Callithrix jacchus: one gene and its partner. Each later gene encodes a partner of the first gene's protein in a complex. Links are inferred from orthologs where the notes say so. Each region holds a gene or a part of one and is shown in the gene's direction. Other genes may lie near its edges. The genes, in order: TOX4 and WDR82.

The links.
Region 2: TOX4 (region 1) and WDR82 share a complex: the UniProt entries of both Homo sapiens proteins name them as parts of the PNUTS-PP1 phosphatase complex. The link is inferred for Callithrix jacchus from reciprocal best matches to the Homo sapiens genes TOX4 and WDR82.

What each region holds. Positions count from the first base shown.
Region 1 is NC_133509.1:55,997,332-56,000,842, forward strand, and holds the end of TOX4 (TOX high mobility group box family member 4), read left to right. Parts: intron 1-161; coding exon 162-325; intron 326-1,401; coding exon 1,402-1,462; 3' UTR 1,463-2,689; downstream 2,690-3,511. Other genes in the region: N(6)-adenosine-methyltransferase catalytic subunit METTL3, read right to left, coding at 2,756-2,867. UniProt on the Homo sapiens protein: Transcription factor that modulates cell fate reprogramming from the somatic state to the pluripotent and neuronal fate. In liver, controls the expression of hormone-regulated gluconeogenic genes such as G6PC1 and PCK1.
Region 2 is NC_133516.1:34,784,525-34,788,052, reverse strand, and holds part of WDR82 (WD repeat-containing protein 82), read left to right. Parts: intron 1-465; coding exon 466-582; intron 583-1,127; coding exon 1,128-1,283; intron 1,284-1,730; coding exon 1,731-1,800; intron 1,801-2,411; coding exon 2,412-2,554; intron 2,555-3,242; coding exon 3,243-3,272; 3' UTR 3,273-3,528. UniProt on the Homo sapiens protein: Regulatory component of the SET1/COMPASS complex implicated in the tethering of this complex to transcriptional start sites of active genes.

The sequences.
Region 1 (3,511 bases):
TGGGACTATTGAGGGGGAGACCAAAAACTCACCTTCTGCAGTTTTACCCCCACTGTGAGGACTTGTAATACCTGTTGTTTCATTGGTTTCTACAGATAATTTAACTAGCTAGCTAGGCAGGGAGCAATCTAATCCACCTTGATGCTCTCTTCCTCTCGTAGGTTGAGTCTCCTTCTCAGATGGATGTTGAATTGGTGAGTGGGTCTCCTGTGGCACTCTCACCACAGCCTCGATGTGTGAGGTCTGGTTGTGAGAACCCTCCAATTGTGAGTAAGGACTGGGACAATGAATACTGCAGCAATGAGTGTGTGGTGAAGCACTGCAGGTGAGCTTACCCTTCCCCTTCTTGTAATTCAGAACTGCTAAATTAATTTTATTGGGAAACATGGTAATCTTGAGCATAAAATAGAGTAGGTTGCTGTTTATCTGGTCTACTAGAAAAGCTCCCCTGCTTAAGACCTTACATTTGCCACATAGGCAAAGGTGACATGATCAGCAGTTCACATTTTTCAGTTACCACATACCTATGTATGCCCTTTAAAAACAGGATAGGCCGGGCACGGTGGCTCACGCCTATAATCCCAGCACTATGGGAGGCCGAGGCGGGTGGATCACGAGGTAAAGAGATCGAGACCATCCTGGTCAACGAGGTGAAACCCTGTCTCTGCTAAAAATACAAAAATTAGCTGGGCATGGTGGTGCGTGCCTGTAGTCCCAGCTACTCGGAAGGCTGAGGCAGGAGAATTGCTGGAACCCAGAAGGCGGAGGTTGCTGTGAGCTGAGATCGTGCCATTGCACTCCAGTCTGGGTAACAACAGCGAAACTCCGTCTCAAAAAAAAAAAAACATTATAATAGGCCAGCTGTGGTGGCTCACGTCTGTAATCCAAGCACTTTGGAGGCCAAGGCAAGTGGATCACCTGAGGTTGGGAGTTCAAGACCAGCCTGACCAACATGGTGACCCCGTTTTACAAAACAAAATATGATAATACATTAATCTGTTAGTGTATACAAATACTAGCTTTTGAATCCTTAGTGCAAATCAGACTATTTAGGGAATTAGAATTTGGGGAAATGGTAAGTGGAATAGTAGCACACAGTAATTTGCTATTTGTGAGGGAAATTGGAGAAGTTCATAAGATTTTACCCCTCTCCCCAGATTCTCCTGGGAATTACCTATAGCTATAGGACAAGGCATTTCTATTTCCTATTTCAAAAACTCTACAGTAAATCAGCATTCCCTCTACTGACAATTCTTATATTTCTGATGTGACACTATGTCACTATGATGCTGCAGAAAATTATTTGGGAACCTAATTGTTTAAGACAGATAAAAAGAATATATCTAGGCTATAATTCTGTTTGTGTATAATTCTGTTTGTGTATGTCTTTTTCTCTCTTAGGGATGTATTCTTGGCCTGGGTAGCCTCTAGGAATTCAAACACAGTGGTGTTTGTGAAATAGTCCTTCCTGTTCTCCAAGCCAGTGAAGAGTTACCTGCTGGGAACATGTCCAAGAGCCTGTTTTTGAAACACAAGCTGGGCTTCTAGTAGTGCCTGATCGCAACCCATGATGGCTGTTCATGTTTCTCCACTTTTCTCCCTTCAGCAGAGGCCACGCTATGGAGCAGGGCCACTGAATTTGCTGTAATCTGGAGATGCTTTTTGCTTTCAACTAGAAGCAAAAATACTAGTGGTAATAGCAGAGGAATGGGTGAAGGGAGTATGGGCAAGCAAAACATAGAGATGGTAAGGGGTGGTGGTGGGGTTGAAGAAACTTGTTGGTATAATTGTCATAGGACTTGCCTAAAATATTATTAAAATGATGGGAGAGTACTCAGCTTTGAGCCTAGGAGAAAACGCCACTGTGTTCATCCATTTTAAAAGGGGTAAGAAATTACAGTAAAGGTTTCCTCTTAAAAAAAATTGTTATTCCCCATTATCACATCAGTACACTGCTTTGAGAACAAAACTTTAATACAGGCATATTGGGCTACATGGAAAATGATATCACCCAGGAGGTTCTTACTACTCTTTACAAATGTTATTTCTGTAGTTACCATCCTTACCTGAGTTATCACAGTTTATGAATCTAAGAGGTAGAACTCTACATCCTTAAGAAATATCTTTAAGAAACCATAGATCTACCATTATTTATTGGAAACAATCTAAAGAAAAACAGACTAGAGAAGCCACCTACTTGTGAGAGAGTAAGTGATAACCTTAAATGGAACTCAAATTTTTACTTTTGAGAAATGCTGTCCTAGAGAACCTCCTCCTCAACGAACCATGTATATATTTATTACTAATTAGTTTGATCCTGTGCATTCCTGTGTTTTTAATGGTTTTAGAGGCTGGGAGTAGAGATGGGGTCTCACTATGTTGCCCAGGCTGGTCTTAGAACTCCTGGGCTCCAGGGACCCTCCACTTCAGCTTCCCAAAGTGCTGGGATTACACGTGTGAGCCACTGCGCCTAGCCTATGATCATTTTAATGTTTCCCATGCACTTGTTTTGTTTGAACACTCACAGCAACCCAGTGAGGTAATACTCCCATTTTAAATATAAGAAATACTACTGAGAGATGAGTTGCACAAGAGTACACACTGATGAGTGGCAGAGCCAGAATGGACTTCAAAATCTCATCTACAATACAAATGTTTATTTAAATAAAGAAGAAAGCTATTGTACAAATACCACTCTTGAGGTTTGGTTTACACAGCCATCACTATGGATTCTTAGCTGTATAAGGAAGTGCTTCTATAAATTCTTAGGTTTAGAGATGATACCATCTGGGTACCTTTGCTTGAACCGTGCAACCACATCTGGGTCTAGTAGGTGGATCCCATCCAGTTGGTTTCCAAGGGTGATCCTGAAATGGGAAAAGGAGGGGCAAACCAGAAATCCTGGAATTAGTTAATATTGTTAAAAGATGCATACCAAATGAAGACTGCCTATCATATCAAATATACCAATTCTTCTATAAAGAGCTTAACATTACAATAGTATATGGTAGAATGAGTAGTTCAGAATTGACATCGATTCTGGTGTTAAAATAGACTGGATCTGAGCTGGGCATGGTGGCTCATGCCTATAATCCCAGCACTCTGGGATGCTGAGGTGGGCCTATCACTTGAAGTCAGGAGTTCAAGACCAGCCTGGCCAACATGGTGAAACCCCGTCTCTACTAAAAATACAAAACATTAGCTGGGCACAGTAGTGCACACCTATAATCCCAGCTACTCAGGTGGCTGAGGCAGGAGAATCACTTGAACCCAGAGGAAGAGGTTGCAGTTAGCCAAGATCTCATCACTGCACTCCAGCCTGGGCCAACAAAGCAAGACTCCATCTCTCAAAAAAAAAAAAGACTGGATCTGTATTATTGGATGGTTAGTAACTAATGCTTAGTCAGGACAGAGTTGCTGCACCAGGGAGTATTCTTTGGATAAGCAAAATGCTAGCAGCATGTGTTTTAAGCTCTATTAACGGGGTGAAAGATAAAATAATTGATTACAT
Region 2 (3,528 bases), on another chromosome or scaffold:
TGATCTCGAACTCCCAACCTCAGGTGATCTGCCTGCCTCACCCCCCCACCCCCTCCCGCCCCGACAAACACATGCAATGTGCTGTGGTTACAGGCGTGAGCCAGTACCATGCCCAGCTGGCTTAATGTTTTCAAAAGTGTTCCTAGAACTTTTGGCTTCAAGGGATTTATTTTTATTTGAACTCTGTGTCTGTAATGTTGTGTAGATAGGGGTGTTCAGAAATTGTTGTCTGGAGACTTGTTTTATAAAAGTTTCATTTTAGCTCTATGTTTGCTTTTTCTATTCTGTAGGTAGGCTGATATGTGTTCGTATGCCTTTCTTAGTTTTCATTGGGAAAAGTAAATTATATAGTGGTAAGGTTCTGGATTCCTTTTTTTCCCCCCATTAAATTAGCAGTCTTCGATTTGTTCTAGGTATGGTTGTGGTATCTGTGTTTTAGTGTGTTTCTTACTTCTTTTCTCTTAGGGCCTCATGCATCTGCAGGGGAAACCAGTTTGTTCTTTTGATCCAGAAGGGTTAATTTTCGCTGCAGGTGTCAACTCTGAAATGGTCAAACTTTATGACCTTCGTTCTTTTGATAAGGTAAATCTTTGAATCTTTGAGCTATCTTAATATTATGGAAGTTTTAAGGGTGAGGTAGACATGTAAGAGCCTTTTCTTTTTTAGGCAGAGTTTTGCTCTTGTTGCCCAGGCTGGAGTGCAGTGGTGTGATCTCAGCTCACTGCAACCTCCATCTCCCGGGTTCAAGTGATTCTCCTGCCCCAGCCTCCCAAGTAGCTGGGATTACAGGCATGTGCCACCACGCCTGGCTAATTTTTATATTTAGCAGAGATGAGGTTTCACCATGTTGGTCAGGCTGGTCTCTAACTCCTCAGCTCATGTGATCCACCCACCTCAGCCTCCCAAAGTGCTGGGATTACAGGCATAAGCCACCGCACCTGGCCCTGTAAGAGCCTTTTCTATGAAAGAAAAAATATGGTAGATGTTAGAGAGTGTCAGAGAAGTAGCTCATTCTCTGCTTTCCTTAGTCAAACAGGAATCTAAAGGAATAGGATGGGAGTTGGCTTGGGCAGAAGAAATAATTAATATGCCTTGGGCCTGGGGCTACTATTTTTTATCTTTTGCAGGGGCCATTTGCCACCTTTAAGATGCAGTATGATCGAACTTGTGAGTGGACAGGACTTAAATTCAGCAATGATGGCAAGCTCATCCTCATTTCTACCAATGGCAGCTTCATTCGTCTCATTGATGCATTCAAAGGAGTGGTGATGCACACGTTTGGGGTGAGCTGACAGCCTTCGAGCATGGCTGTTTTCTTGCTCATATTCCTGTGCTACGAATTATGTTAGCTGGTTGGTAGAGACCAGTAGTTACTCTTGACTTACTGTTGGAGGCATGCACTTGCATTTTCTTCCTGATCATGAACTTACTTCCCTTGGATTCTGTAGACGTTCATTTCTCACCAGGGGACCCAAGTTTGGTATTTAGATATAAAATAATTTCCTAACAGTAAAGTTTTCTTGCCCCCTTGAGTACACCTGAATACAGAGTTGAGGGTGGGAGTGGATTGTAAAGGATGACAACCACATTTGGAAGCTTGGTGCTTAGTACATGACAAGGAAAGGGTTTCACAGAAAGGAATGTGATGCATGTGCTGAGTCAGTATTTGTAGGCAGCTGTTTTTATTGATGGCCCTGTAACAACAAAAGAACTGCTCTGTTTTGTTTAAGGGTTATGCCAACAGCAAAGCTGTCACACTGGAGGCTTCATTTACTCCAGACTCTCAGTTTATTATGATTGGTGAGTTTCCTTTATCCCCTGTGGGGGTTATTTCTCTGGTACTATATGCATTTCTTTGTTTAAATTATTAACTAATTGAGACATTATTATTTTCTGATAGATGTTCTCAGATTTCTGTATAGCACATTATGCCAAGGACATAATGTCTTTTAACTGCCCTGACTTTGGAGTTCTGTACAGAGAACTGGCAGATGTTCTCTGTACAGAACTCCAAAGTCAGGGCAGTTAAAAGACATTGATGTTGGTCTTCTCTGGACCAACATTTGAGTTAAACTCTGTTAGCACTACCTTATTAGTAATACTAATGTCCTGGTGCAACCCTACATTCAGTCATCTTAGTGGGTGCCTGTTGGTAGAGTAATGGTATTCAGCTCCTTTTTTAGATGAGAAAACTGAAGTTAAAGGGGAAGTGACATGCCTGTGAACAAATAGCCAGAGTCAAGATCAATTTTCAAAGTGTCCTCCCTTCACTGCCTCTCCTCCCTCTCAGTTTTGCCTCAGGAATGGGTCCTAAAGTTTGGCCTGTCCTCAGACCTCAATCCATGTCTCATTTCCAGTTGTCTTTGTATTGTGCCTTGAACTGTTACATTTTCCTTCAATATTCTCTTTAGGTTCAGAGGATGGCAAGATCCATGTCTGGAATGGAGAGAGTGGTATAAAAGTAGCTGTGTTGGATGGTAAACACACAGGCCCAATTACCTGTTTGCAATTCAACCCCAAGTTCATGACTTTTGCCAGCGCGTGTTCCAACATGGTATGTGAACAGTAAGAGGCGTCTGCCATCCAGGGACTCTTTCCAGTTGGGGTAGTGGGTGCCTCAACGAGCACAGCAAGCTGTGTTCTACGTCGGTACGTTACAGCCATCCAAGTTCATGTTTCTCAACTGGTGGTTTCCCTGTTTGACCTCCTATTATTTGATCTCTGGCTGGGCTGGTCTTGTCTTTCATTTTTCTTCTTCCTAGAGGTGATCTGGAATCACCTTTGAGCTCCAAGGAGATCATAGGCCAATTTTTGCTCTGGACCCTAATTTTAGGTCCAGACTACCTGGGCTACACTTGGCAACTTTTTTGCTCCTTAAAATACTCTGAATCAGCCTTTTGTGCTTTGAGTTTTCCATTCCTCTTGGTTTACGCCAAATTCCCAGAACTTTCTATAGTTGGTCATAACTCACACTTAGAATTAACTGCAGGCCCTTGTATCTTCCTAGATAATAACTAACAGAACAAAGGATCAGTGAGTCTCAGCTCCAGTTTTCCCTGTGATCTCCTAAACCTGCCTGGGCATTCGGTGATGAGACATTATCAGAGTTGTTGGTCAGGAGGGAGGGCCACCAGAGCCATTGGGATTGGGCACATTTTTGCTGTGGGGTGGGATGTGAAGAACCCTTGGTAGTGAGGAGATGCCTGGCTTTTTTTTAAAGTTGATTTATGTTCTTCTTCTAGGCCTTCTGGTTGCCCACCATTGATGACTGACCCTGAGGCTGCTCGGCTATTTCTGTACAGTGAGGGCGGCCAGCAGGAAGAAACTCAGAGGGGACTGAGATAGTAGTGGGATTGGATCATTTGACTGGGCTGGAGAACATCCTTTCACATGGCCTTCCCATCAATGTGCTGTACATCTGCTCAAAAGGAAATAATTACTTTGCTGATCGTCTTCAAAAGGACTGTTGGTGCAACAGACTCAATTGGAACTCAGCTTTGTTAGCTGTCACTGCACCAGGCTCTGCTA